2 linked regions of the Anolis sagrei genome follow. The protein of the gene in region 1 interacts with the protein of each later gene in a biochemical or structural test. Links are inferred from orthologs where the notes say so. Each region holds a gene or a part of one and is shown on either strand. Other genes may lie near its edges. The genes, in order: ABCC4 and MPP1.

Region 1 (16,140 bases):
TGCCTTACGGTTGGGGGGGCTTCCCTGATTAACCACTGGTCTGTGGGGCTGGTAGTTGAGAGATGGGCGCCTGTTCTTCCAGGATCAAACATCCTGTCTCATCGGATACACCTTTAGGAAGAATACTGGCGGAATGGGACAGGGTTGCGTCGCCGACGCAGGCCAGTAGGGTAAAAATCGCATGGAGAGGTGGCCCACCAGGCCCTCAGCAGGTGGAGTTTCGTGGCCCCTCATGGCAGTCGGATCGCTGTGAGGGGGCCAAGTGGACCGAACTCGCCTCTGCCTCATGCTTTTTGCCATGTGCCGGAGGGAGGTGGAAGGGGGGTAGTTGTGGCCAACTCCTACCATGCAAGGGGAAGGTAACAAAGCCCCAACCTCCAGGAAACCCCCTCCAGAGCATTTTCCCTCTCCTTGGAAAAATTGCTTGTTCCCCTACCATCCCATTCCCATTTCCCTTTACCCAATCTCCCTGACTCCTTCCTTCCCTTTCCAACCCCTCCATTTCCCTATTCTGAATTTATATGCCCCTTCTACTTTTTACTGCTCCTTGAGGAAATGCACTAGGGGTGAGTGGTTCTCTGAAAAAGGGGGGAGGGTGATCGATGCCTCCAAGTTTGCCTTTTCTCTCTCTCTCTCTCTCTCTTTCACTGGAAAGGAGAGGGGAGGGAGAAGGGGAATAGCTTGTACAAAAAGTGACCCCTTTGTCCCCCCCACCCCTTGAAATCTAGGAGGGGAGAGGTCTGACCTGTGCTTGTTTTTTTCTTTCTCCTTTTTGTGGGAGAACCCCCAAATGTCCATTTTGGGGGGGTTGCCTGTACCTTTTTTTCCTTTGTCTCCTGTTGGCCATGCTTCCCAGGGTTTCCAAAAAGATTTCCTCCTTCCCTCCTTCCTCCCTTCCTCCCTTCCTTTGTTTGACCCCTTTGTTCCCATTTCTCCCTTGGAACCTGGAAGAAAAAAAGGGGCTGATCCAGATTTGTTATTTTCCCTCTCTTTCCCATTCTGGGAAATGCAAACAAGGGGAGGGGGGAGAAGGGGAGGAAGTTTCAGCCAAGACTTGTGTTCTCTGGCATGTTTCTTTCTTCTGTGTAGATGGGGGGGAGGGCACATCACTCCTTCCCTTTTCTCTCCCATCTCTTCTCTAGAACTACAAATCCCCACCTCACCAGAGCACCCCACTTACTTTCAAAAGCTAGATCACCCCCTTTTGCTTTCAACTTCTCTTTCTGACCACCTTTCCCTTGGCCTTGGGGTTTTCTCCTTCCCTCTTGCAAACAGAGGGAATTCTACCCCTCTCACATCTTCAATCTCCCCTTCTTTTCTGCGCAACTACAAAACCCATTTTTTTTCAGGGGCAGTCACCAATGTCCCTGCCTTTCCTTTGTTTTCTCTTTACTCCCCAACTCCCCCTTTTTTTTTGCTTTCAAACCCCTCCTCCCTCTCTCCTCTTGCAAACAAAGGGAGGTGTAGGGGGGGGGACCTTTTTCCTGCTCCTGTTTCCTTTTGCCAAATAAAGTTTGCTGGGTTTCTCTCTCTCCCTCCCTCTCTCTCTCTCTCTCTCTTCTCCCTCCCCTCCCATCTTCTAAGAAGCCAGTATTCTGTAAATTCTTTCCTCTATCTCCCAGAGAAATCCTGCTGCTCCCTCTTACCTCCTTCTTCTCAAACCAAAGGAAGAGATGTTCCAGAAGCATTCCCTCCTGACATTTCACTCACATCTATGGTTAAGTCTTTCTCTTACATACACAGTCCCTCTGATGCTTTTTTCCTTCCTGGCCCTTCCTCCCTCCCCTCTCCCTGAGCACATGTATGTGTATGTCTAAATTATCCCATTAACTGCCTTAAATATGAGGGGGGCGTCGCGGTCCAGGGGTCCCCTCTGCGCAGTGAAGAGACCACCGGACATCAGATCGAACTGTGGGACCCATAATCCACTCCTGCCGCTGAGGACAACTACCTGGGTGAGGTGAACAATGGGAGGTCTGTGGACTTTCCTGTGGGGAACCCAGATGGCACAGGAAGATCCTAGGAGAACAGGACCAGACCCCATGCCGCCCAGAAGAGACAGCCCCTCCTAGAGGCTGATCTGAGCCCCCACGGGGGAATGCCATCGCAGGAGGAGCAACCAGGATCCCACAGCAACTGCCGTGAAGGAAGGAGGCCCTGCCCGTTCCAGAAGCTGTGCAGAGGAGTGGCCCAAAGGAGACCACTGACGTCCCCACTAGGTATGAAAGTTTTTCCCTTTGTTTCCCCACTAACTACCCTTGGGCTGGGAAAGGGGGGGTGGGAGGGGGCTGTAAACCTTCTTTCTGACTGTCCTAGACACTACCCCTGAGTCTCTGTGATGATGGAGAGCCGGACCTGTCTGCGGTCACCAGGAGGCGCCACGCCAGAAGGAGTAGCAAGGCTGTGCCCCATCTTCTCCCTCCCCGAAGTGCCAAGGGAGGAGCCAGCGCCCCCAGGAGGCCTGAGGACCACTGCCAGATGGGAGAATTCCACCATGTGCCATCCTCCTCCATTGGGAACTCACCCGGGACCCCTGAGTGCTCCATGCTGACTGCCATCACAGGCTCCACCATCCCCTGCCTCCACCGTCTTCACCTTCTTACTTCAGTCTTTTTTTCTTTCTCCAACCCAAAGAACACTCTGCCACTGGTCTCTCCCACCCTGCTGGGTCCTGCTGTTGTTGCTTGAGTTGGGCCCCAAAATAATCAACAGAATACAATCTAATCAGTCTAGAAAGAGGCCCTGGGTGCTTGGGGGGATTGTCGAGGCTTGGGAAAATGAGTGTGACCATTTTCCAGCCTCGAAGGGAGGATTTGATGCGGAGCATCTCCCCCCCAAGTATTTGTAGTTCGCCAAGGGCCGGACGATGGATTCTGCCGCTTCCTGACCCAGCACACATAACTGGGTTCCTGTTTCCTCTTTGTGAATTCTCTGGCTTGTGCACTGGACTATGGACTCTGCTACTACCCAACCCAGCTCCCCCTTCAGCTCCAGCTCCTGTTCCTAGAAGGAGCCAATCTTCTGTTGACCAACCTGGACCTTGGACTGATCTTCTGATGGCCAGCCTGATGCATGGACTGGCCCCTGCACCCAAAACCCTTCCGTCCAGACTTCTAGTTCTTTCCTCTCTCTTTTTATGAAATGAATAAAATATTTTCTTATTACTGTGGATTGGGGTTGGGATGGGTGGTGGGTGGTGATATATGGAATGCCTGTATACTGGTGATGCCTATGGTTTATGAATATGAAATATGTAGCCCCTATGAACTCCTCTGTATCCTCACCCCCTTGACCCTCACCCCACAAGAAAACCAGCGTGACCAGGAACTGCCTGGGGACAGAGCCCAAGCCTCTTTCCCCCAAATCACCCATTGATTGACTCATTTTGCATGGACAATGCTGCTGGCCCCAACCCTAGCCCTCGGAGCATGGCCAGCGAAGGAACAAGGGTCAGCAGAGCTTCGGAAAAAGAGACTGATTAATTCACCCAGATATTGTTGACCCTCCGGGTGGTCCGATATTGATCTAGCCTATTCAAATTCCCTGCCAGACTCATCAAGGACAGGAAAGCCTTTGTTTGTCAAACATCTGGAGACATTTTTCCTTTGTTTCGCTGAGCACATGGCATTCCTTTGTCTGCAGATTCCTTTCCCAGATTCCTTTGTGCTCCCTCATCCCGCCCCCATTCCTCCTGATTGGCTGTCGCCACCATGTGACAGAGGTCTCCCCATTGGATCCTACAGACCATTGGAGTTTCCTGATTGGTACAGAGGCGCCAGGGGCGGGAGGGCTGCTTCCCAGGTGTCCGCCCATCACCCAATCACAGCGGGGAACACCTGAGGGGCCGGGGCAGAAGGGTTGAACTCTGGGTTTTCAAAAATTGTATAAATATGCCTGCATCACTGTACCCCAGTATGCTTATGGTGGAAATATCCCTGTAACGCATCCTTTTCAGCTGAATCGCAGAAATAAACGCTTCGGTCACTGGATACCTCTTCAGCCTCTGGTGGGATTAATTCTTAATATTTTGCGCTTTGGATTGGCTTTTGCTGGCAGCTCACCAAGGTCAAAGACCCCCTTTGCGGTCTTCTGGGGCCTCCCTCGCTGGGAAAGCCCCCCAAAAAGAGCTCGATATCATTTTCAGCCCACTAGAGGGGGTCGCTTCCTTAGAGACGCCTCGTTGCGTTTGGAAGAGACCCCTTGCAGCTGCTTGGAATTCAGTAAACTGCTTTTCTTGGATGAATTATGTTGTGCGTCCTCTTGATTCCTGCCTGTGCTCGCTCACCGGTTGCAAGCCAAGCTTTGGCTGAGGGCCCAATTGGGCAAAAGGGTCTGCTACAATTCTGCATTATAGAATTAATGCAGTTTGACCCCTCTTGACCTGCCATGGCTCAATGCTGTGGCAATTGTAGCCTTACATGGTCTTTTGCCTTCTGTGCCAAAGAGTCCTGATGGCTTACCAAACTACAACTTCCATTATTTCACAGCACTGAGCTGTGGTAATTAAAGTGGTGTCAAAGTGCATTGATTCTACAGTGTAAATGCACCCAAAGTTCTGCCATGGACAATATTATCAATAGGTCCTGTGTTGTTGTCCTTGGAGAGGAACAATTTGGGGAAGTCAGTCGTCCAGGCAGGAAGTGTTAATAGACTGCCTGCTCCTTTTTAGAGATTTTCAAACAATTGTGGTTGCAATGAGAATGCAGCTTTCATTGTTTTGTCTCATTTGCCAAAGATATATCAACAGCAATCATTAAAGGCATTGCATGCACATTTGGGAGGATCTTTCAAGGAAGAGTGGCCATCCCTCAAGGAAACATTAAATACAATTTAATAACAGAAAGGCTGTCACAAAAGAAGTCTTTTCATAATTTAAAGCTTGCTGTCTCATTTTTTACAAAGGCCCAAAGAGAAACTACCATCAACTGCTAAAGCCATATTGGAATATCAGATCTTACTAACATATGAGAGAAACCTTATTGTAGCCGTTCGTCCACATTTGCACTTTCGACTTTTGTGGATTAGATTACTCTATGTAACACGATTTTAGTTCTTAGCTCCTCATGCGGGGACATGAGAGAAGCCTCCCCAAGGATGATAAAAACATCAAATCATCCGGGCGTCCCCTGGCCAATGTCCTTGCAGACGGCCAATTCTCTCACACCCGAAGCGACTTGCAGTTTCTCAGGTTGCTCCTGACACGACAAAAAAAGGTTCTTGGGTTATAAATATCATTTCTTAATTGGTTCTGTGATTAAAAACATGGGAAAAGTTTATTAAACTGCAAAAACGTTGGTTTTGTGAGACATCCTGCAGCATATTTTGCTATTGTTTTTCAATGAATATCTCACAGGGCTGGGCTTTAGCACAGTGGGTTAAATTGCCAGTTGCAGAAAATCTTGCAGATCGAAAGGTTGACAGTTCAAGCCTGGGTTGGGGTGAGCTCCTGTCAGTCCAGCTTCTGCTCACCTAGTATTTTGAAAACAGCAATGTTAGTAGATAAATATGTATCGCTTTGGCTGGGAGGTAATAAAAGGCACCATGTGGACATGTCGGCAATTCAATCAGGAGAGCGTCTGGGGACAACAAAGCTCCTCGGCATGGAAGATGGAGCAACAGCATGACTCCATGGCCGGAGTCAAGCACTGCTTCCAGATGGAAAAAGATGGGAAGCCTTTACCTCTCTTTATGTACTTTCTGCCTTGGTTAATTGTATAACGGCATTGAATGTTTGCCGTATATGTGTACTGTAATCTGCCCTGAGTTCCCTCAAGAAGATAGGGCAGAATATAAATAAAGTATATTAATATTATAGAGTCTCAATCAATTCAACTTAGTTTGTGGCATTCATGAAAACGAAGATTCTGGAGTATAACAGCTAATTGCAAAGTAAATACTGCACAACTAAACAGGAAATAACACTTTCAAACCAGGCACAGAGTTTTGTTAAATAGTGTTATTCATGGATTTGATTAAAAATATTATCTCTGTGAATTTCAAGGTCCTTCAATACAATCCTGTGGTTGGTTTACAGTGGATATTGGTTCTAGATTAATTTTGGAAGATCTGGAAACTCCTAGAGAGATTTGCTCAGGTTAAAAAATAGTAATTTGAGCTTCTTTACTTTCCCAGTGGTCCCGTACCTCTATCCCCTACGAATGTGGAAGGGTGGCTCTATTACATACTGACAAATATTTGCAAGGGGAAACCTGTTGTGCCACTTATTCCCCACATCACAATTATGATATGATGATAACAAATATGGGGTATGGATCATGTTGGTACAAGAATGCAGGTAAATATCACACAAAATGTGCTGTGTCTGGTTATATCTTAATTTGCAATTTGGACATTTCTTCCATGTTTCCCCTTTGTATTGATATCTAAAGACTTGTAGCTCTTGTCCCAAGTTTCCAGTTCTCCCATGAGTGTTGCATTACCACAATTTTGATTCCCGAGCTGTAGAAATATTGAAGCAAACCTTTTCAGGAAGTTATATTTCTTTGGTGAAAAACTATCTGGGGTCTTGGGCAAAAGTCTAATTTTTTGTATATCTTCCAGTAGTGCTGTTTAGATATCCAGGGCCCATCTAGAACAAACATTTTGGCATTCATAACTATTCCTGGCCCCTCTGTGTCCTTGTGGTTTACTTGTGTCCTTTCTTCCTTCGCAATCTCATGCCGGAGGCTTAGTTTGTGTACAAAAAACTTGACATTTCTCTGAGGCCCCCATCCAAGGACATGAAAACCTGTTAGTTTTGTTTTCATTACTCTCATCGTGTTTTGCTCTCCGTCGTAAGGTTCACTTTTTCAAGCTCTGCAACCATCTCCTCTGGTTTCCTGATGACTTTTTTGGGGGAAGGAAGCAGCTGCAAACTCTTTCATCAAACGCAGTTTTGCTTGAACAGCCTGCAATTGTTGTCTAAAGGCAGACACTCTTCTTTACTGTGACAACTGTGGTTGCATCAATTTCATATGTTCTCCAGCAGTCACTTCACCACTAAACCACTAAGCCAAATGGAGTCATAGCACTGCCTGGCTCAGTGCTATGACACCTTGGGAGATGTAGTTTTGCAAGACCTTTAAAGTTCTCTATGAGTGCTGATGCCTCCTCAAACTACAACTTCCAGGATCCCAGAGCATTGAGACAGGACAGTTCAAATAGTGTCAAACTGCAGTAATTCTAGCGTTGATGCATCCTTAATTTTTAATTGAAGGATGCAGCTAAACCAGGCATGGGCAAACTTCGGCTCTTCAGGTGTTTCAGACTTCAATTCACACAATTCCTAACAGCCTACTGTGTATACAATATATTATATTATCAGCACAACACAATACTAGTATTATACATTACTATATTGCACTATACCACTATAGTAAAGGTAGGTAAAAGTTTTCCCCTGGCATTAAGTCCAGTCGGGTCTGACTCTGGGGTGTGGTGCTCATCTCCATTTCTAAGCCGAAGAGCTGGCGTTGTCCGTAGATACCTCCAAGGTCATGTGGCCAGCATGACTGCATGGAGTGCCGTTACCTTCCTGCTGGAGTGGTACCTATTGATCTACTCAAATTTGCATGTTTTCGAACTGCTAGGTTGGCAGAGGCTGGGAGTGAAAGCGGGAGCTCACACCGCACCCTGAATTTGAACCTGCAACCTTTTGGTCAACAGGTTTAGCAGCTCAGCTAAACCCACTGCATTGACCCACTGCGCCACTGGGGGCTCTCTGATATAGCACTATACTTTATAAGGAAACACAACATACAAACTATCTTCAGACCCACCAAGAAAATCCAACAAATGCTACGTTCAGCAAAGGACAAGAGGGATCCTCTCACCTCTGCAGGAGTCTACCTGTACCATGCAGCTGTGGACAAGTCTACATAGGGACCACCAAACGCAGCATTGCCCAAACACAAATCAAGGAACATGAAAGGCACTGCAAACTACTTCAATCAGAGAAGTCAGCCATAGCAGAGCACCTGATGAACCAATCGGGGCACAGCATATTATTTGAGAACACAGAAATGCTGGACCACTCTCACAACCACCATGTCAGACTACATAGATAAGCCATTGAAATCCACAAGCATGTGGACAATTTCAACAGAAAGGAGGAAACCATGAAAATGAACAAAATCTGGCTACCAATATTTAAAAAAAAACTCTAACATTACAACAGCAAAACAACAGAGGGGAAACAATCAGGCACATCTAATTACCTCTCAACAAAAGATTGCCCCAGGCACTACTAATCAAGGTGGTCAGTTGAAACATTCACACCTAGCTCCAACAGACAAGAGTTCTTTGCCCCACCCTGGTCATTCCACAGATATATAAATCCACTTTATTAGTTCCAATGGACCTCACTACCTCTGAGGATGCTTGCCATAGATGCAGGCGCAACGTCAGGAGAAAATGCCTCTAGAACATGGCCATATAGCCCAAAAAAAACGTACAACAACCCACTATATTTTACCTTTACTTATAATGGTCTTTCTTTGCCCATGTGGAGAAACACCTTCTAGCAGCTCATGAAGCAAAAGCACACTCCAATCTGTCACTTTGTGCTTCTCTCCAAGCGCCTGTATAGCTCATGCCTGAAAAATGTAACAGTAACCAAAAGTCCCAGACTCAGCTAGTTTCCCCAATCAGCTTGTACATCTTATTTTACAGTTGACACACACACTAACTGATTTCTTTACATGCTCCAACAACTGTTATTATTATGATGCTGTGGAAGGTTGCAGTCTGACAAGACCTTTAACCTTCTCATCCCCAATGATTCAATGGCATTGAGCAGAAGGCATTATAGTGGAGACACAGTGTATCCACTCTTCAGTGTAGAGATGCAGGCAGCGTGCTTCTTTTATCTCTACCTGCCTGTCTCCGGGGCTCCCCCTAGCGGCGACGGCTGTCCCTGCCGGTGTCAGCTTTCCCGGAAGCGCCCTCCCTCCCTCCCTGCCTGCTTGCCTGGCTCCTCCCTGCAGCCAGTGGCAGCCCTTGCTTCCCGGCGAGGCTCCGCTTCCTTTCTCCCGGCTCACACCACCCCGATCGCAGCGTGTCCTTGGCGGGGAGAGCCCTCTTCCTCCTGGGCTCATGGAGGCGCCCTATTCCCGCGGGCAGAAGGAAAACCCGCTCCGCCAGGCCGGCTTATGCTCTCGGATCTTCTTCTGGTGAGCCTGGAGGGTCCTGACTTGGGAGGATTCCTTCCCTGTTGCAATATTGAGCCTAAAGGCGAAGTGGATATCTATATCTGAGCTTATATTGGATATAGATTATATAAAACCGCGCGCCAGGCAGTCATGCCGGCCACATGACCTTGGAGGCGTCTACGGACAACGCCGGCTCTTTGGCTTAGCAATGGAGATGAGCCCCAGGGCTGAAAAAGTTGGGATCAGGGAAAAGTTGAGCATCTACACCAGCCATGGGCAAACTTGGGCTCTCCAGGTGTTTTGGACTTCAACTCCCATGATTCCTAACAGCCGGTAGGCTGTTAGGAATCATGGGAGTTGAAGTCCAAAACACCTGGAGAGCCCAAGTTTGCCCATGCCTGATCTACACTGCACGTTGACACCACTTTATGCTATGGCATCCCTGGGAGTTGTAGTTCCACAAGGTGCTGGTGCCTCTCCAAACTACATCTCCCATGTCTCCATAGCCTTGGCAGATAAAATGGTCTCGATCTGCACCCATTCTAGTGTAGATTAGATGCACCTTGTGCCAAGTCTGTCCCTGACCTCAGGGCAAGTTGTAATTCACTTTCTCTCTTTATCTGTTGGTTCCTTTGTCTTCAGGGCAATGCTTTCTTGGAGGAAATGGGCTTTCTGGGCTTGGCTTCCCAAGCAGGGCCTGCCTAGCGCCAGGTCTACGGGAAATGATTCATAAATTCTCATTGGAACTTCGGTGCTTTCTTCCAAGATCAAAGAGGAGTGTGGAGACTCCTAAATCTGTCAGGATTCTCTAGGCTTCCGCCAGACCTCAGGAGTGAGGCACTATAAACATTTTTTTTAAAGTTGAAGATACAATATTTTATTTCAGGGGGAGGCTTTAAAGTTGGTAAATGGGACAAAAAGTGCATCTTCTCTGTAGAATGAATGCGTTTTGACACCATTTCAACTTCCATGAGGTCATGGGAGTTGTCGTTTTGCAAAGTCTTTAGCTTCTCTGCCAAACTGCCAATCTTAGGAATTTTTGTGTGTGTCAGGAGCAACTTATTTATTTATTTATTATTTACTATATTTGTATACCACCCTTCTCTGCCCTCAGGTGACTAAGGGTGGTTTACAATGGCAATGATTCAATGACCAAAAACACCATAAAACATTTAAAAACATAAATAATTGAGAAACTGCAAGTTACTTCTGGTGTGAGAGAATTGGCCATCTGCAAGGATGTTGCCCAGGGGACGCCCAGATCTTTTACCATCCTGTGGGGGGCTTCTCCCATGTGCCCAATTTTAGGATTCCAAAGCATTGAGCTTGGCAGTTAAAGTAACCTCAAACTGCATCACTTCCGCAGTGTAGATGCACCCAAAGTGTGTATAGAAAGCTGTGACACTGTACCGTTGAATTAAAATGTTATACAACTTAAATTTAGTAAAGTCATCAGGCGTAAGTTATTTTATTTGAGTGAAAATCCATAATTATTCATAATAATAATAATAATAATAATAATAATAATAATAATAGGGTTGTTGTAGGTTTTTTCAGGCTATATGGCCATGGTCTAGAGGCATTCTCTCCTTACATTTCGCCTGCATCTATGGCAAGCATCCTCAGAGGTAGTGAGGTCTGTTGGAACTAGGAAAAAGGGTTTATATATCTGTGGAATGACCAGGGTGGGACAAAGGATTCTTGTCTGTTGATTCGTGTTTGGGCGCTGCATTTGGTGGTCCCTGTGTAGACTTGTCCACAGCTGCATGGTATACGGTAGACTCCTGCTGAAACTAGAGGATCCCTCTTGTCCTTTGCTGAACGTAGCATTTGTTGGATTTTCTTGGTGGGTCTGTAGATAGTTTGTATGTTGAGTTTCCTCATCAGCTTCCCTATGCGGTCAGTGGTTCCCTTGATGTATGGCAAGAACATTTTTCCTCTGGGTGGATCTTTGTCTTTACTCTCGTGGCTTGTTCTTGGTCTTGCAGCTCTTCTGATGTCTGAGGTGGAGTATCCATTGGCCTGGAGAGCCCAGTTGAGGTGGTTCAGTTCATCTTGGAGGAGGTGGGGTTCGCAGATTCTTTTTGCATGGTCTTCCAAGGCTTTAATGGTGCTTCTTTTTTGACTTGGGTGATGGTTGGGGTTTTTATGTAGATATCTATCTTTTTATGTAGATATCTATCTGCCTCTAGACCATGGCCATATAGCCCGAAAAAACCTACAACAACCCAGTGATCCCGGCCATGAAAGCCTTCGACAATACAATAATAATAATGTTTATTATTCAGGAGCCCCCAGTGGCACAGCTGGTTAAACTGCTGAGTTGCTGAACTTGATGACCAAAAGGTCAGCGGTTTGAATCCAGGGAGCGGGGTGAGCTCCTGCTGTTAGCCCCACTGAAAGATCGGCAGTTTGAATCCAGGAAGCGGGGTAAGCTCCAGCTGTTGGCCCCAGCTCCAGCCAATCTAGCAGTCAGTAGATGCAAATGTCAGTAGATCAATAAGTACCGCTTCTGTGGGAAGGTAATGGTACTCCATGTAGTTATGCTGGCCACATGACCTTGGAGGTGTCTATGGACAACGCTGGCTCTTTGGCTTAGAAATGAGATGAGCACTCCCTGATGGCTCTTTGGCTTAGAAATGGAGATGAGCACCACCCCGCAGAGTCGGACACGACTAGGTTTAATGTCAAGGGGAAACCTTTACCTTTATTTATTATTCGTCAGTCCTTTTGGCTCAAGGAGGGGCACAGCATAGTAAATACACCTTGTGAAAGCACATATTAAAAGATAGTTGAAATGCAACAATTAAAGCATATATACACTTATTGATATACATGAAACAAAGGTCAAAACACAATAAACATAGAATGTGATTTTAACATTCATAGTGAAGATTGACTGGGTTGGCCTGTTGCACTCAGAACGCCCCATTTCTGCTTTCCTCAGCAGAAATTAAGAGATTTCTTAATATTTTATGGCCAAATTCTGATTTAATTGGGATTTATAGTCAGGCAGGTGAGTGTAGGGAGAGTGAGTGTGATGTTGAGGTTTGACATTTGAATCAAGACTTAGGGATCTCATTCCGCCATGGAAACCCACTGGGTCACTTTGCATAAGCTGCACTCTATTAGCCTCCGAGGAAGGCAGTGGAACTTTTTTTGGCAGAGGCTCCTTTTTTGGAGGCTTTTAAACAGAGGCTGGATGGCAATCTGTCGGGAGTGCTCTGAATGTGATTTTCCCGCTTCTTGGCAGGGGGTTGGACTGGATGGCACACGAGGTCTCTTCCAATTCTATAATTCTAATACCCTCCTCCCTCACCAAGAAAAGTACAGAATAGATAGTTTCTCCGTAGAGTCACGATAAATTGGAAGAACAACAAAGTGGGCACAGAATTGCAGCTTTGAATGGACTGCATCTTGTTTTGGAGGAACAAGCCGGTACGATTAACTGTCTAGAAGAAAACTGGTAGTATCCAGGTGATTCAACGAAGAAAGAGGCAAATTCATTGCTGGAATTAAGTCAGGTTTCCTAGTTTATGATCCACAAACTTCCTGGACAAGGGTTCATGCTCGCTAGTTAAACTTACAGCACAATGGTTTATAGGTTTTTTTTTAAAAAAAGCCTCTAGTTTCTAGGATCAAAACCTCACATTGAGATCATGCAATGTGTAAGCGCATTCCTTTCTAGACTTATTATCGGTAGAGAGATAAAGACCAGTCTGGTTTGATTCTCTGCATTCTTCTTCATACTGGGCCTCAAATTCAGTTACGTATAAGAGAAAAGTGTCGATGTAACACACTGCTGCTGTAGTCGGATATCAGAGTGCAATATTGTTATGAGTTATTGTGTATACATTGACTTTTTTCCCTTCTAAGATAATTCTTCTATCCTTGCTCACTTAAAATGTTTTCAAGCAATGTTTGGTTTCTCCATCTGATGGCAGTGAGTCTTATTTTTGCAGTGGCATCAATTCTGTATGCACTTCAGTAGTCACTACTCCTCTAAATTACTCATGTCATAGGAGATCCCTTGTGGCCGAGCATGATTGCTTTCCAAGTGTAGGGTCTTGGCAGTGAGTCTGTAGGTGGCTATAGAGACCTATTCTTGATTTGCATGCTCATTTGCAGTCAGGACATTTGTTTCCAGATGGAAGACGGTCCCAACAAGGGTTGGCTTGATGTGCCTTCCTCTTGACATGTTTCTCCCTTTCGCTCTCTGTTTGCTTCCTAAAGTAAACTACTAATCTATATGAATACAATGGGCCCTTGGTATCCACTAAGCTTTGGCTCAAAGCCTCCTTTGGATACTAAAACCCCTGGATGCTTCAGTCCCATTCTGTGCAATAGCGTGGTAAAATAGTATCCCTGACAGTAAAGGCAAGGTTTGCTTTTTGGATTATCTTGACTATTTTCAATCAATGGGTGGCTGAATCCGTGAATGAATGCATAATCTGTTGACATGAAGAACAGGCTGAACTTGCTGCCACCCACCTGGCTCTTTGCTTGCTGGAGAGTCAGCCTTGAGTTGAAGTGGGAACCTGAAGTTGTCCCCAAAATGGATTTAGTTCTGCCTTTTTCCTTGGGATCAGAGTAGATGGGCATGAAGAGAGCATCTATTCTGAGGAATATATAATATATTTTTATTTATATTCCGCCTATCTCCCTGAGGGGACTCAGGGCAGATTACAGTACACATATATGGGAAACATTCAATGCCATTATACAATTAACAAATACAGACAGGACATAAACAGAGGTAAAGGCTTCCCAACTTTTTCCATCTCCAGCATCTGGAGACTGTTCTTGACTCCAGTGATGGAGGGGTGCTGTCGTTCCATCTTCCATGGCAAGTAGCTTTGTTGTCTTTAGACATTATCCTGATCAAATTGCCAGCATGTCCGCCTTTTATTACCTCCCTGCCAAATGGGTAGCTATTTATCTACTCACATTATTGTTTTCAAACTTCTAGGTGAGCAGAAGCTGGGCTGATAATGGGAGCTCACCCCAGCCTGAGTTTGAACTGTCTACCTTTTGATCGGCAAGATTTTCTGCAACTCTCGGTTTAACCACTGTTCTAAAGCCTGGAGACAACGCATTAACTGACATGGCTCAATGCTGTGAAATATGGGAGTTGTAATTTTACAACGTTTTTATTCCATTCTCCCAAAGTGGGTTGGTGCTTTCCCAAACTACGAATCCCAAGATTCCATAGCATTGAGCGAGGGCAGCTAAAGTGGTGTCAAACCGCATTCATTCTGTGCCCTTCCGTATTTTTGGGCCATAACATTGGGCTGCCTTACAAACTAGATAATAAGGTAATATCTGTACAGTACTTTGAACACTTGAAAATGTTGTGTAACTCCTGGGTATAATCTCCTGATTTGGGAGGGAACACGTTACAGGTAATTGCAGGTTATAAATACTATAACATATAATTTTTGGAAGTAAGTTGGGCATGCTTCTTGTGGGAAAAATTGTAAAGTAGTTTATTAGGGAGGCTGGAATTCAGCATGGGACTCACCTCTTTGTAAGTAAACTTACATTTTGGGGAAATAGAATTGAGTAGTTTTGCAGTTTCTGCATTCACTTAAGAGGTTCTGTGACTTTACAGTGTACAGACGTCTGCTGCTGACCAGATTTCTATTTTGAAATGCATTTGTGTACAAATAGAATGAAAAAACACCTTTAGAAGACACTTTAGAAACACTCCTAGTAAATAACATGCTATGTAGTATTTTGGGGAGTCTGGAGCACTTCCACACGTCATAGTAGTCCTATGAGATAAGTAGCCTTGAAGGATCTAATTCTTTGCTAATTTTATTATTAGAAGGATCAACAAATAATTTTTGCAGTTTTCTTCCCATAATAAGACTATAGTTTTACACTGAGAGGTTCTACAGGTGGAGATTTATTTGAAGTTCAGGACTAGTTCATATGTAGTTTGGGTTGCTGTAAGTTTTCTGGGCTGTATGGCCATGTTCCAGAAGCAGTCTCTCCTGATGTTTCACCCACATCTATGGCAGGCATCCTCAGAGGTTGTGAAGTATATTGGAAATTAGGCAAGTGAGATTTATATATTTGTGCAATGTCCAGGGCGGGAGAAAGAACTCTTGTCTGTTGAAGGCAAGTATGAATGTTGCAATTGGCTACCTTGATTAGAATTTAATGGTCTTGCAGCTTCAAATCCTGGCTAGCTGCTGCTTGGGGAATCCTTTGTTGGGAAGTGTTAGCTGGCCCTGATTGTTTCCTATCTGCAAATCCCTGTTTTTGAGAGTTGTTCTTTATTTACTGTCCTGATTTTAGAGGGTTTTTAAAATACTGGCAGCCAGATATTGTTCATTTTCATGATTTCTTCCTTTCTGTTGAAATTGTCCCCATGCTTCTGGATTTCAGTGGCTTCTCTGTGTAGTCTGACATGGTAGTTGTTAGAGTGGTCCTGCATTTCTGTGTCCTCAGATAATATGCTTTGTCCACTTTCTGTGTAGGAAACATCATTTTCTATGCAGAATATACTGTCTCAGCTCAGTATACTGAAGATCATTCACTTGATCTGATTTGGCCCTTATATAGTTGTCGTGTAGGAAAGATGCTGTGGAACTGGAAGGCATGCTGACCCTCTTTTAGGCATTTTAATATCAGAATAGAGCAACCGCACTAGCTCTGGCTAAAAGGGGAATGGAATGGAAAACCTTTACTTTCCTTTGCAGCTCCTGGCAACAGAGCTTGGAAAAGCTACTTCTTTGGATTCATTTCCCCAAATTCCTTAGTCAGAAGTTTTGGAAGATGTCGTCCAAAATTGGTAACATTTCCAAGGTCTGGCTGGCCAGCTGCTCATATAGGGAAGATTATGCAGCAGTGTTTAATGTACAAGGTGCCAGTGATGTATTAATGGCTAGAAGTGCATCTTAGGTCATAAGTCATGGCAGGTCTCTTCCACTAAGTGAGTGCTGGAGGCTGATTACTAGATCCTTGTCAGATCACTCCTGGAAAT
Region 2 (16,140 bases), on another chromosome or scaffold:
GCTAACCCAGTGACATCACAGAGGGCCACCTCGCCTAGCAACAGCCATCCCAGTGACATCACAGGGGGCCACTTCACCTAGCAACAGCCTTCATGAGACAAGCAGACAGACAAACAAATGCATACTTTGACTTTTATATAGAGAGAAGATATATATAAACACACATCCATACTTATTCGCACATAGACATACATCACATATACACATATAAAGATAATGAAGTTTATTACAAATATATATATATATATATATATATATATATATATATATATACACACACACACACACATTCATGTGTGTGTGTGTACACACAAGTACACACCCATACATACATACATGGGGCAAAGAAAGTGGGACTAGTCCCTACTTTTCATGGCACCCCATATTTCCCACTCATCTCTGCCTAATACTAGAACCGGTTTCTTTCCGGTTTATGCTGTTGCGTTGAACCCTGGACTTCTGACCCAAGCCCTTCCCTGATTTCAGGACAGAACAGCCTCCTACAGTTCTGAGAAACAGACTTTGTTGTCCATGACTTTGCTATGTGGGCATTGCGTATCCTGAGCTGCTCCGGCCCAAGCTAGACCGAGCCCCAGCCCATCCGATGGAGAGTTCAGCCAGCCTGCTATTTTGGTGGCAGGCTTCAAATAACGTCCTTTGAGGAAGAGGGAAGCCGGTCTGTTTTGAAATGCGGCACCCAGAGAACTCCAGGGAGGCAGCTCAGCAAAACACATCTCCAGTGTCAAAGAGAGCTCCAGACCACCAAAGCAACTTGAGGTCATCAGGAACACCGTAATAATAGCTTTCGGTGTTATTTCTGGAAATGTCAGTGGCAGGTTTGAAATAAATAGGGATCATCAGAGAAGCCTGCTTCCCCCAAATGTGCCCAGACTGGGTTAGATTTCACTCTCTGTCAAAGTGGCACCATTTGATTTTTCTTTGGAATCAGATTTTCAGTATTGTGTGGTTTGGAGCTAAATGAATAAAGAACACTGTCTTCACTACCCTTCTAAGTGTATAAATAGTGGAGTATAAGAACCAGGAGATGCTTAAATACCTTAAAGGTACCAGATCTCTTTTGATCAATGAGCCCTGGTTAGAACTTCGGTTGAAGACCACCAACGAATACCTGGTGCTGTTGGATGTATTTCAAAGGAAGCAAAGGGAAAACTACCTTTGAGTATTCCTTGCCTAAGACATTCCTATGAAATGTATGTGGTTGCCACGAGTCAACAGGCAACTTGAAGCCACAAACATATAGAATCCAAGGATCTTAGTCCAAACATATTCCACAACCATGCTCCTTAATCTCACTGGATTCACCTGAAATTCATAAAGTTGTGTGTGTGCATTTTGCAGTATTAATTGTAAAAATATACAGAGCAATTAATTCCCACTGACTTTACAAAAGACCTGCCCTTGGTAGGAATGGAAAGCCTTTACTTTTACCTGTGTGTCTAATTGTTTCGAGACATTGAATGTTTGCTTAGTGTCTCTATATTTGCTGGAATGCACCCTGAGTCCCCTCAGGAAGATTGGGTGGAATACAAATAAAGTGTTGTTATTATTATGTTATTAAATGCCCAGAGTATAGATTAGCCCAGTTGCCTATATTCTGGATACTTCCTACGAGATGAGAGTTTAAATGTTATTAACTAATACTACACCAGTATAGATGCTATAATATTTTTAAAAAATTACTTTGGATGGGATAGCAATTAGTTGTCCATGACAGAAAGGATATTATTATTATTATTATTATTATTATTATTATTATTATTATTATTATTCCAGAGGTGTCTCATGAAATTATATTTCATTCTAATAACAGTATATACACTACACATGTAATAAATAATAATAATAATAATAATAATAATAATACTTTAATTTATATTCCACTCTATCTCCCCAAAGGGACTCAGGGCGGATTCCAAACATAAAAGGCAAACATTCAATGCCCGAATACAACAACAATACATCCATATTAACAAAATGTATACAACCCAACATATAAATATGAATTATAACTTAACTAAAATTAAATTTAAAAAAAACATAGCCTGTTTTAACAGACATAAGACAAAACACAAATACATACATATTGGTGTGTTGTTTTTTGTTTGCTTGTTTGTTTACAGTATTTTTATTCCTCCCTTCTTACCTCGAAGGGGACTCAGGGTGGATCACAGAACACATATACAACAAACATTCAATGCTGTTATACACAGACAGGACAGACAACAGTACAGATAGTGGTATATAGACATTTTTCATCTTTGGCATCCTAGAGGTTGTGCTCAGTTCCGGCCACAAGGGGGTGCTGTCACTCCATCCTCCATGTCGAAGAGCCTTGTTCACAGACTTCCTCCTTTTTTTATCGCTGGCATTTTCCTTATGGTGTCATTAAAATACCTCTCCACTTAAGCAGTACCTATTTATCTACTCACAGTTGTTTTCGATCTGCTAGGTGGGGAGTGAGCTGGGCTGAAGGTTAGGCGCTCACCCCTGACCTGGACTTTGAACTGCCAACCTTTTCATAGAATCATAGAGTTGGAAGAGACCTCGTGGGCCATCCAGTCCAACCCCCTGCCAAGAAGCAGGAAAATCGCATTCAAAGAACCCCTGACAGATGGCCATCCAGCCTCTGTTTAAAAGCTTCCAAAGAAGGAGCTTCCACCATACTCTTGGGAAGAGAGTTTCACTGCTGAATGGCTCTCACAGTCAGGAATCTCTTCCTAATGTTCAGATGGAATCTCATTTCTTGTAGTTTGAAGCCATTGTTCTGTGTCCTAGTCTTCAGGGCAGCAGAAAACAAGCTTGCTCCCTTCTCTCTATGACTTCTTTTCACATATGTATACATGGCTATCATATCTCCTTTCAGCCTTCTCTTCTTCAGGCTAAACATGCCCACCTCTTTAAGCCGCTCCTCATAGGGCTTGTTCTCTTTTAATTGGCAAGATTTATGGCAGCTGGTGGTTAACCTGCTGTGCCAAAGCCTGGCACTGTTGTTGTTGTTATTCCAAGTGGTCTCATGAAATTGTATTGTATTATAATGGCAATATATACACTATACATGCACATACATACATATTGGTGTTGTTGTTGTTGTTGTTCCCAGTGGTCTCATGAGATTCTATTCCATTCTGGGTCCTTAGTAACTATAAGTGAGGCATCAATTCAACAGATGCAACCCATTTTAACACTGCAACATAAATGCTGGGAAAATGTACACAGACAAGCTGGCAACCTTAACAGGATTTTATTGATTTAGGGGTCTGTGTCTCCTTTCTCTTTTTACTTTCCAGAATTCTCATAGATTGAAGAGGATCTTCCAGAAGTGATCAGCGTCTTTTGATTACCAGACCCAGGAATCTCTCCGTTGAGAAGCCCCACTTTGCGAAGAAAGTCTTGGGGAGCTTGGAAAAGTTACTTTTTAGGACTATAATTTCTTTAGCCAGCAAGGACACTGCTCGGCTGACTAGGGTTGTTTTGCTTCTCTAAATGCAATTTTTCAGAAGGAGGCATATTACCCTTTCTGTTATTGCAAAACAGTTGCAATAACAGAAGTTCTGTCACTGTCCGTCACTTTGCGACAAACAATGTTGTTTAAGATGGAGCAATTCTGGTGTGGACAAGAGTGAGTATCTGTGTTTCAAAGATAGAGATATTTGAACAGGCCAGTAAAATAAAAATGTTTACATTTACATTACTTGATGTAATCAATAAAATGTCTGCTGTTTTGACTCTCTGTCATTTGTTGAAATGCTTTAGAGCAACTCCAGATGGATTGAAATGTTCCAGATTTTGGGTTGCCGTGAGTTTTCCAGGCTGCATGGCGATGTTCCAGAAGCATTCTCTCCTGACGTTTCGCCCACATCTATGGAAAGCATCCTCAGAGGTTGAGGGATCTGTTGGAAACTAGGCAATAATAATAATAATAATAATAATAATACTTTATTTGTACCCCGCTACCATCTCCCCAAGGGACTCGGTGCGGTTTATATATCTGTGTAATGTCCAGGGTGGGAGAAAGAACTCTTGTGCATTTGAGAAAAGTGCAAATGTTGCAATTGGTCACCTTGATTAGAATTGAATAGCCTTGCAGCTTCAAAGTCTTGCTGGTTGCTGCCTAGGGGAATCCTTTGTTAGGAGGTGTTAGCTGGTCCTAGGGTCAGCTAACTCCTCCCAACAAAGGAGTTCCCCAGGCAGCAAAAACCAGGCTTTGAAGCTGCAAGGCCATTCAATTCTAATTAAGGTAGCCAATTGGAACATTCATACTTGCCTCCAACAGACAAGAGTTCTTTCTCCCACCCTAGACATTCCACTGATATATCAACCCCACTTGCCTAGTTTCCAACAGACCTCACAACCTCTGAGGATGCCTGCCACAGATGTGGGCAAAACGTCAGGAGAAAATACTACTGGAACATGGCCATACAGCCCAAAAAATGCTCAGCAACTCCAGCAATGAAAGCCTTCAAAAACACATTGTTCCAGTTTTTGTTCCTGTTCTTTCCAATTTTCTTCTGGGGTCCATTCACATTGAATAATTTCTATGAGCTGCTGGCACACTAGTAATTATCCATGCTATTTTAAGATATAACAAACCATTTTCACAGCCAAGACCGTTTAAAACCTATTAGAAGACAGAATACAAAAGATCTGTATTTCAAAGCTGATCACAGGGTGTATCTGCACTGCAGAATTAATACAGTTTGACACTATTTGAACTGCGACGTCTCAGGTGCTGTTTCCACTGCCATACAATGCAGATGAACAACACTGAACTGCATTACATAGTAGCATAGATTCATATAAGCCAACTTGATGCAATTAATCTGCATTCTGAAACTGTATTATATGGCAGTGTAGATAGGAGCCTCAATGTATTGGAATCCTGGGAATTTTGTTTATAGCACTGAGCCATGGCACTGAAAGTGGTCTCAAACTGCACTAATTCTATAGTGTAGATCAATGTTCCTCAATCTAGAAGTCAGGACCCCGTGGGGGGTGTTGTGAGAGGGGTGTCAGAGGGGTTGCCAAAGACCATCAGAAAACGCTGTTGGTCATGGGGTTTCTGTGTGGGAAGTTTGGCCCAATTCTATCATTGGTGGGGTTCAGAATGCTCTTTGATTGTACGTGAACTACAAATCCCAGAAACTACAACTCCAAAATGTCAAGGTCTATTTCCCCCAAGTTCTACCACTGTTCACATTTGGGCAAATTGAGTATTCATGCCAAATTTCATCCAGATCCATCATTGTTTGAGTCCACAGTACTTTCTGAATGTAAATGAACTACAACACCCAAAACCCAAGGTCAATTCCCACCAAACCCTTCCATTATTTTCTGTTGGTCATGGGAGTTCTGTGTGCCAAGTTTGGTTCAATTCCATCATTGATGGAGTACAGAATGCTCTCTGATTGTAGGTAAACTACAAATCCCAGCAACCACAACCAGGGGTGGCTCGTCCATTACGCGAAATAAGCGGTCGCAGAACACTTTTTTTGCCAGGGGCGCAGAGGTGCCTCTGTAAATGCCCCTTGACCGCCGCTTGAGGAGCAGCTCACAACAGCCCTAGAAGTCCGGGGGGAGCCTCGGCTTTCTTGCCTCACCGCTGGGCGATCCTCTTCCCAAAGGGGCCGGGCCCTTGAGCCTCGCCTAGCCCCTCTCCTTCCTGCTCCACCCAGCCACAGGGTGCGCGAGCAGAGCCGGCACTCAATCGTTTTCCGCGTTCGATCCCTTCCCCATGATTGGCTCCCTTTCACGATCCCCCGGCACTCCACCCGCCTCCTCTCCTCTCCCCAATCTGTGGGTGGGCCAAGGGGTGGAGCCGCTGCGCCTGGCCCGCTTCAGGTCCGGCCGGCATGTCTGAAGACCCCAGCGTGCGCACCAAAAGTCGCCTCTTCTCCTGACTTTCTCTTCAGCCATTGGGACCGAGAGAGAGAGAGAGAGAGAGCCCCTCCGGCTGGAGGTATCTCCCACCTCCGCTCCCTCCTTTGTTTTTGCACCTACCTACAGGAAAGGTGGGCATCTCCACCTCTCTCTCTCTCTCTCTCTCTCTCTTGGTCCCACTGGCTGAGGAGAAAGTCAGGAGAAGAGGTGACTTTTGGTGCACACGCTGGGGTCTTCAGGCACGCCTCCAGACCCAAAGCGGGCCAGGCAAGGGAGCAAGTGCAGCAAGTGCAGTTACTGGGATGTATAGTTCACCTACAATCAAAGAGCATTGTGAACTCCACCAATGATGGAATTGAACCAAATATGGCACACAGAACTCCCACAACGAACAGAAAATATATATCAGTGATTGATTTGAGGGGGGAGGGGGTGCCAAAATACTGTTTGCTTACCATTGAAAATTATCTAGGGCCGCCTCTGATGGCAGGAACACTTTTCCTCTGGGTGGGTCTTCATCTTTACTCTCGTGGCTTGTTCTCGGTTGTCTTGCAGCTCTTCTGATGTCTGAGGTGGAGTCTCCATTGGCCTGGAGAGCCCAGTTGAGGTGGTTCAGTTCATCTTGGAGGAGGTGGGGTTCGCAGATTCTTTTTGCACGGTCTGCCAAGGCTTTAATGGTGCTTCTTTTTTGACTTGGGTGATGGTTGGAGTTTTTATGTAGATATCTATCTGTGTGTGTGGGTTTTCTGTAAACGGTGTGACCCAACTGTTGATCTGGTTTGCCCCTTTTTTCCCAGTTTCCAGCAGACCTCACTACCTCTGAGGATGCTTGCCATATAGATGCAGGCGAAACGTCAGGAGAAATGCCTCTAGAACATGGCCATATAGCCCGAAAAAACCCACAAGAACTGAATAATAATAACTACAACCCCCAAATGAGAAAATCAATCCTCCACAACCCCACCAGTATTCAGATTTGGGCATATTTTGTGCCAAATTTGGTCCAGTGAATGTATATACAGGCACGCCTGGCGGGGATGAGGGATAGGGCCTTCTCGGTGGTGGCCCCCCGGCTGTGGAACGCCCTCCCTGTAGACATCAGACAGGCGCCCTCCCTTATGACATTCCGCAAAAGACTAAAGACATGGTTATTTGAGAGGGCGTTCGACTAAGTGCTACAATTGGCAATGATGACTGGAACGGAATATGGATAACGAGATTGGTTATGATTCTACGATGAGACGGCGCGGATGATTTAGTATAATCGTATTATTGATTGTTATGTTGATATTATTGTTGTGATATTCCCTTATTGTAAACTGTTTTTATATGTTGTACACCGCCGTGAGTCGCCCTAGGGCTGAGAACGGCGGTCAACAAATGCAGTAAATAAATAAATAAATAAATAAATATACATCCTGCAGATCAGATATTTACATGACGATTCATAACAGGAGCAAAATGACAATTGTGAAGTAGCAACGAAAATAATGTTGTGGTTGGGGGTCACCACAACAGGAGGAGCTGTATTCAGGATGCCAGAGGATAGAGTTCAGGCGGGGTCAACCTGCGTTCACTGCAGAGGGTGTAGATGCAGCCGTGGGCGGCAGGGGGCGCTGCCGCGTTGCGGGCAAAGGCAGCGGCGCGGCGGGGCTCGGCCGGGGTCTCCTCCTCCTCCTCCTCCTCCTTCTCCTCCTGCGTTGCCTTTGCGCCAAACGGAGGCACCGGGAGGGGCGCTTCCCGGGCTGCCTCCTCCCCGAGAGCCGCCTCCAACCCGCCTCCCTGCCTGCCTTCTTCCCCGGAGCCCAGCCCCGCCGCAGCCCTTTCCGCCTCGGGACGCCCCAGGGATCGGGGCCAGGAGAAGAAGAGAGCAGGGCTATCCCCATCCATCCCTCCATCCATCCATCCCTCCATTGATCCACCGGGCAGCATGACGCTCAAAGGCGGGCAGGCAGGCGACGGCGCGAGCCGCATGAGGACAGTCCTCTCGGACCTCTACCTGGAGCACCTGCTGCAGAACAGGCCCAAGGCCGAGGCGAGTTGGGATGGGGTGGTATGGAGAAGGGGGGGGGGGTCAAACTGGAGGGAGGAGGGGGTGCACGGTGTGTGTGTATATGTGTCCCCACTTTCGCCTTTTCCTGTTTGGGGCTTCCCATGGGGAAAAAAATGCAAATGCATGCTAATTTATGCTAATAATGCAAACATATGCAAATGCATGCTAATGCCCGTATATAAAAACACACCACTTTTGCATCTCCCTCTATACAAATAGGCCCAAATAATGCAAAATAATAGGTTCTTGTAGGTTTTTTTCAGGCTATAGGGCCATGTTCTAGAGGCATTTCTCCTAACACCTCTCAACAGAACATTTTCCCAGGCTCAGCCAAGCCTGCATGCTAATACCCGTATATAAAAACACACCACTTTTGCATCTCCCTCTATACAAATAGGCCCAAATAATGCAAAATAATAGGTTCTTATAGGTTTTTTTCAGGCTATAGGGCCATGTTCTAGAGGCATTTCTCCTAACACCTCTCAAGAGAACATTTTCCCAGGCTCAGCCAAGCCTGCATGCTAATACCCGTATATAAAAACACACCACTTTTGCATCTCCCTCTATACAAATAGGCCCAAATAATGCAAAATAATGGGTTCTTGTAGGTTTTTTTCAGGCTATAGGGCCATGTTCTAGAGGCATTTCTCCTAACACCTCTCAACAGAACATTTTCCCAGGCTCAGCCAAGCCTGCATGCTAATACCCGTATATAAAAACACACCACTTTTGCATCTCCCTCTATACAAATAGGCCCAAATAATGCAAAATAATAGGTTCTTGTAGGTTTTTTTCGGGCTATAGGGCCATGTTCTAGAGGCATTTCTCCTAACACCTCTCAACAGAACATTTTCCCAGGCTCAGCCAAGCCTGCATGCTAATACCCGTATATAAAAACACACCACTTTTGCATCTCCCTCTATACAAATAGGCCCAAATAATGCAAAATAATAGGTTCTTGTAGGTTTTTTTCGGGCTATAGGGCGATGTTCTAGAGGCATTTCTCCTAACACCTCTCAACAGAACATTTTCCCAGGCTCAGCCAAGCCTTCAAATGCTAATGAAGGTGATCAGCTGAAACATTCACACCTAGCTTCAGCAGAGAGCTCTTTGCCCCACCCCAGTCATTCCACAGATATATAAACCCATTTTCCTATTTCCAACAGAACTCACTGCCTCTGAGGATGTTTGCCATAGATGCAGGCGAAACGTCAGGAGAGAATGCCTCTAGAACATGGCCCTATAGCCCGAAAAAACCTACAAGAACCTAGTGATTCCAGCCATGAAAGCCTTCGACAATACAATGCAAAATAATCATTTATACTAATACTAATATATGCACATACTATATGTGCCCATATATACGTAATATGCCACTTTATGCAATTGTCCATCTCTAGATAAATAGCCCCCCCCCCCCCCCAGTGGCGCAGTGGGTTAAAGCACTGAGCTGCTGAGCTTGTTGATCGAAAGGTCACAGGTTCGATTCCGGGGAGTGGCGTGAGCTTCCGCTGTCAGCCCTAGCTTCTGCCAACCTAGCAGTTCGAAAACATGCAAATGTGAGTAGATCAGTAGGTACCGCTCCGGCGGGAAGGTAACGGCGCTCCATGCAGTCATGCCGGCCACATGACCTTGGAGGTGTCTATGGACAACGCTGGCTCTTCGGCTTAGAAATGGAGATGAGCACCACACCCCAGAGTCAGACATGACGGGACTTAGTGTCAGAGGACTACCTTTACTTTTACCTTAGATAAATAGGCCTATTTACGTAAAAATGTCTTATTTATGCAAATGTGCTAATTCATGCAAATAATGCTAATATATGCAAATCACTCTCTCTCTCTCTCTCTCTATATATATATATATATATGCCCATTTATGGAAACTTGCCACTTTCTGCAATTGTGTCCATCTATACAAATAGATCCATGAGGTCAGAAAGAATCGGAGACGACTGAACGAATGAACAACATACAAATAAGCCCACTTATGCAAAATACCCATTTATGCAAATGTATTTATGCAAATAATAGTAATATACAGGAGCCCCCCGGTGGCGCAGTGGGTTAAACCCCTGTGCCAGCAGGACTGAAGACCGACAGGTCGCAGGTTCGAATCCGGGGAGAGGTGGATGAGCTCCCTCTATCAGCTCCAGCTCCTCATGCGGGGACATGAGAAAAGCCTCCCACAAGGATGGTAACACATCAAAACATCCGGGCGTCCCCTGGGAAATGGCCAATTCTCTCACACCAGAAGCAACTTTCAGTTTCTCAAGTCGCAACTTGAGAAACTGCAAGAAGCAACTTGCAGTTTCTCAATATGCAAATGCATGCTAATATATGCAAAAAATACTATATGTGCCCATATATATGAAAACATGCCACATTATGCAATTTTGTCCATCTATATACATAGGCCGGTTTATGTAAACTACCAATTTATGCAATATATGTCTTATTTCTGCAAATATTCCTAATATATGCAAATACTTAATATATACAAGTACATGCTATATATGCCCACATATATATATAAACATGCCACTTTATGCAATTATGTCCTTCGATACAAATATGCCCATTTTTGCAAATATGCCCACTTATGCGAAATCCTTATTCATACAAATATGTCTTATTTATGCAAGTATTACGAATATATGCAAATACTAATACATACAAGTGCATGCTATATATGCCCATATATATATATATACTTATACAAATACCACTTTATGCAATTATGTCCATCTATACAAATATGCCCATTTTTGCAAATATGCCCCCTTATGCGAAATCCTTATTTATGCAAATATGCTTTATTTATGCAAATGTACTCATACATGCCAATCATGCTGCATGCCTTTAGCTCTTTCTCACAGAACCTGGTTGAGGGAGGCAGGGAAATAGGGAATCTCATCTGAATGAATGAATGAATGAAAGAATGGAGTGTCATCCTGGGAGTTGTAGTTTGACCAAGTCTGTCTCCTTCTCTGCCTCGGCCCACTACAACTCTCAGGATTGTGTAGTACCGAGACATAGATGTGGGTTGTCAAACGGTGTCCGTGCTACATGCGAGATGCACTCTTCTCAATGTGATGCTTTGGGTTACAAGCATGCTCACTTGCTCTCCATTTTTAGGAGGACTGAATGCATCTACAGAAGGCTCAGGCAAAATTAGGTCCTCCGGGTGTTTTGGACTCCAACTCCCACCATTCCTAACAGCCTCAGGCCCCTTCCTTTCCCCCCTCAGCCGCTTAAGCGGCTGAGGGGGGAAAGGAAAGGGCCTGAGGCTGTTAGGAATGGTGGGAGTTGGAGTCCAAAACACCCGGAGGACCTAATTTTGCCCATGCCTGATCTACACTTACTACTTGAATGCTTGGGAGCCAGGATAGTTATAGTTTGAGACCCTGTAGTGGATCCTAGGCATGAAAGAGATGTGTTCCAACAACCGTAATGTGTCTGCTTGGATTGTTATCCTTGGAGGGAGCTTTTGGTGCTTTGCTGCTGCGGAAGGAGCCGGCTCTTGTTTGTGCCGCAAAGCTGGTTCGAACTGGAAGTGGCTGTCGCTTGGGCTGCGGAGCCGAACCAATGGGAGCACGAGAAGCCTCCTTGCGCAAGGCAGGCCACATTCATCTCTGTCGGTATCGAGTGCAGATTTTCACCCTCGTTTCGGTTGAACCTGGGACATAACTCTCCCCAGGCAGCCGCTTTTCCCTGAAGCCACCGTCTCTGCAAAACATCACATTATCTAAAAATCACAGCAGTGTGCGCGGGAGAGATACAATTCTAACTTCATTAGGATCCCAGTGAAAAGTGGGACAAAGTTACTTTTCAAAAGCAGGGCAACACAATAGAAATAATGCTACATTATTGGTGCAATGGATAACATTTAGTTCCCAACCTTCCTAATGCCGCGACCCCTTAAGACAGTTCCTCGTGTTGTGGTGACCCCCAAATATAAAATTATTTTTGTTGCTACTTCGTAACTGTAATTTTGCTCCTGTTATGAATTGCAATGTAAATATCTGATATGCAGAATGGATTTTCATTCACTGGGCCAAATTTGACACAAATACCCGATATGCCCAAATTTGAATACTGGTGGGGTTGGGGTAAGATTGATTTTCTTATTTGGGAGTTGTAGTTGCTGGGATTCAGCTACAATCGAAGAGCATTCTGAACCCCACCAACGATGGAATTGAGCCAAACTTCTCACACAGAACTCATTTGGGAGTTGTAGTTGCTGGAATTTATAGTTCAGCTACAATCAAAGAGCATTGTGAACACCACCAACGATTGAATTGAACCAAACTTGGCACACAGAACTCTCATAAGCAACAGAAAATACTGGAAGGGTTTGGTGGGCACTGACATTGAGTTTTGGAGTTGTAGTTCACCTACCTCCAGAGAGCACTGTGGACTCAAATAGTGATTGATCTGGACCAAACTTGGCACGAATACTCAATATGCCCAAATGTGAACACTGGTGGAGTTTGGGGAAAATAGACCTTGCCATTTGGGAGTTGTAATTGTTGGGATTTATAGTTCACCCACAATGAAATAGCATTCTGAACCCCACTGATAGAATTGGACCAAACTTTCCACATAGAACCCCCATGATCAACAGAAAATACTATGTTTTCTGATGGTCTTTGGTGACCCCTCTGACATCCCCTTGCAACCCCCACAGGGGTCCCGACCCCCAGGTTGAGAAACACTATTTTACAGTGACCCTTTGGGGTGATGGTTCTCAACCTTCCTAATGCCGTGATCCCTTAAGACAGTTCCTCATGTTGTGGTGACCCCCCAAATATAAAATTATTTTTGTTGCTACTTCATAACTGTAATTTTGCTACTGTTATGAATTGCAATGTAAATATCTGATCTGTAGGATGTATTTTCATTCACTGGACCAAATTTGACACAAATACCTGATACGCCCAAATTTGAATACTAGGCTCTGGTCTAGCATACCTGTTCGAACGTATCTCCTTCTATGTCCCACCTCGGAGCTTAAGATCTTCTGGGGAGGCCCTGCTCTCGGCCCCGCTTTTGTCTCAAACACGTTTGGCGGGGACGAGGGACAGGGCCTTCTCGGTGGTGGCCCCCCACCTGTGGAATTCGCTTCCCGGGGAAATTAGGTCATCGTCATCCCTCCTCACCTTTAGAAAGAAGGCAAAAATGTGGTTGTGGGGCCAGGCCTTTGGGCAATTAAGTTTAAGGACAATTGATAATGCTTGACTATGGCTTGGAAGTGGATTTGGATAAGTGAAGCGGAGTAATAATAATTAGTATATGGCTAAATAAATAGCCACCAGACTGGCAATAGCTACATGGATCCTAAGTATACTGTTTAATCTCTATTTCTTAATGTTCATGTTTTTAGTTGTTATATTTGTTATTTTGTATTTTATGATGCGGCATTGAATTATTGCCAATTGGAAGCCGCCCTGAGTCCCCCTAGGGGTTGAGAAGGGCGGGGTTAAAATGTTTGAAATAGATAGACAAATAAATAAAATAGTGGGGTTGAGGGAGATTGATTTTCTCATTTGGGAGTTGTAATTGCTGGGGTTTGTACTTCTGCTGAAATTGTCCATATGCTTGTGGACTTCAATGGCTTCTCTGTGTAGACACAGCATATTATTTGAGAACACAGAAATGCTGGACCACTCTCACAACCACCATGTCAGACTACACAGAGAAGCCATTGAAATCCACAAGCATGAAGACAATTGCAACAGAAAAGAGGAAACCATGAAAATGAACAAAATCTGGCTACCAGTATTAAGAAACTCCAAAATTACAACAGCACAACAACAGAGAGTAAACAATCAGGCACATCTATTCACCTCTCAACAAAAGATTTCCCCAGGCACTGCCAAGCCATCAAATGCTAATTAAGGTGGTCAGTTGAAACATTCACACCTAGCTCCAGCAGACAAGAGTCCTTTGTCCCACCCTGATCATTCCACAGATATATAAACCCATTTCCCTACTTCCAACAGACCTCACAACCTCTGAGGATGCTTGCCATAGATGCAGACGAAATGTCAGGAGAAAATGCCTCTAGAACATGGTCATATAACCCAGAAAAACCTACAACAACACAGTATATATAATATTATAATACAAATTAAAACAGCATAAAACACAACAAGGCAATAAAAACAACATCATTAGCATCTCCTATATTATCAAGCATTGCCCATTTCTATCGTCAAGTCATCAGGTTTCCTATATCAATTACCTATATCCGTTACTCTGCATTTGTAAACGCTTGCTCAAATAGCCATGTTTTCACTTGCTTCCGAAACCTTAAGAGGGAGGGAGCAGATCTGATCTCCCTAGGGAGGGCGTTCCATAGCCAAGGGGCTGCCACTGAGAAGGCCCTGTCTCTCGTCCCCACCAGAAGTACTTGTGACGAAGGCGGGACTGAGAGCAGGGCCTCCCCGGACGATCTCAAGGTCCTTGATGGTTCGTAAGGGGAGATGCATTCAGACAGGTAAGTTGGGCCAGAACCGTTTAGGGCAGTGGTTCTCAGCCTGGGGTCCCCAGATGATTTTGGCCTTCAATTCTCAGAAATCCTAACAGCTGGTAAACTGGCTAGGATTTCTGGGAGTTGTAGGCCAAAAACATCTGGGGACCCCAGGTTGAGGACAACTGGTTTAGGGCTTTATAGGCCAAAGCCAGCGCTTTGAATTGGGCTCAGTAGCAAACTGGCAGCCAGTGGAGCTGGCACAACAAGGGGGTTGTATGCTCCCTGAGAGCCGCTCCTGATAGCAACCTGGCTGCCATTCATTGGACTAGTTGAAGCTTCCGAACCATCTTCAAAGACAACCCCATGTAGAGCGTGTTGCAGTAGTCTATACGGGATGTAACCAGAGCGTGTACTACCATGGCCAAGTCAGACTTCCCAAGGTACGGGCGCAGCTGGCGCACAAACTTTAATTGTGCAAATGCTCCCCTGGTCACCACCAAAACCTGAGGTTTCGAGCTCAGCAGTGAGTCCAGGATCACACCCAAGCTGCGAACCTGCGTCTTCAAGGGGAGTGTAACCCCATCGAACACAGGATGCATATTGAACTCAGTTTGCAGCCGTTGGATTAAGCTAAGGAGGGAAGTGTGGGGAAGAGAAAAAAATGTGCGGACAATGGGATACCTGCATATGAACCAAATGGGGAAGGTTGATGGCACGGTGTTGTATTGCACAGCTTGTTTGCTTGAAACCAAAAATTGAACTTTGACTTAATGATGCATGAATACACACTTGAGTGCTTAAAAAAAATCTCCACGTCTTCTTGTCACTAGCTTTTGCTCTAAACAAGTTTAAGAATGGACACATGTGCATTGATAAGAGCTATCTTATCCTCTGAAGATATGGCCTTTTCTTTCTTTTATGTACATAGCCGAGTAACTCAAGGACAATGGGATTATCACTAGACGGTCTCAAGTATCACTGTGGGACAAGGCTTGTCTGATAGCTCATGTCTTACACTACTTTAGGGCAGGAAAACTGACATTAGAAGCTCCACAAAATATACAAGCCACAACAGAACGATTTCAATGGATCGGGAATGTACCCAGTTTTAGAAAACTGGCTATTTCAGGCTCTCAGTTTCCCCCCAAATTGTTGTAAAACATGGTGCGCTTTTCTATTTCTCCAAAACTGAAAGATCAGGTGGTTTCTCTCCCTTTCGTTCCAGTCTCTTGTTGGAGAAACAAGTAAAGTCTGACTAAGTGTGACCTTTGGGCCAGAAGGATGGTTTTTAACAGAGCTAATGACTTGGAAATGAACGGCCTTGTTAATGTTTGAGCCTATTAATGCACTGCTTTGCATTTTACTGCAGTTGGGGAAATGTCTCTTTCTTTTTGCGTAATAGCAGAACTGATTACTTCCTTTCAAAACCGTATGTAAAATCTTCTGCTATTTGGCAGGCCCAGATTGGAGATTTGTGACAATTTTTAGATTTATACCTTAGCTCTCAGGAAAAATAAACCTGCATAACGACCATTGTATTACTGGGTTGCTGTGAGTTTTCCAGGCTGTATGGCCATGTTCCAGAAGGATTCTCTCCTGAGGATGCCTCCTATAGATGTGAGAGAAATGTCAGGAGAGAATGCTTCTAGAACAATGTTTCTCAACCTGGGGGTTGGGACCACCGGGGGGGGGGTGTCAGACCATCAGACAAC

What was found.
Region 2: the proteins of ABCC4 (region 1) and MPP1 form a complex in vitro, tested with the Homo sapiens proteins (2 studies listed by BioGRID and IntAct, with this or other methods). The link is inferred for Anolis sagrei from reciprocal best matches to the Homo sapiens genes ABCC4 and MPP1.

What each region holds. Positions count from the first base shown.
Region 1 is NC_090023.1:126,647,358-126,663,497, reverse strand, and holds the start of ABCC4 (ATP-binding cassette sub-family C member 4), read left to right. Parts: upstream 1-8,983; 5' UTR 8,984-9,093; coding exon 9,094-9,170; intron 9,171-16,140. UniProt on the Homo sapiens protein: ATP-dependent transporter of the ATP-binding cassette (ABC) family that actively extrudes physiological compounds and xenobiotics from cells.
Region 2 is NC_090030.1:15,262,357-15,278,496, reverse strand, and holds the start of MPP1 (55 kDa erythrocyte membrane protein), read left to right. Parts: upstream 1-7,591; 5' UTR 7,592-7,828; coding exon 7,829-7,933; coding exon of another isoform or gene 7,934-7,937; intron 7,938-16,140. UniProt on the Homo sapiens protein: Essential regulator of neutrophil polarity. Regulates neutrophil polarization by regulating AKT1 phosphorylation through a mechanism that is independent of PIK3CG activity.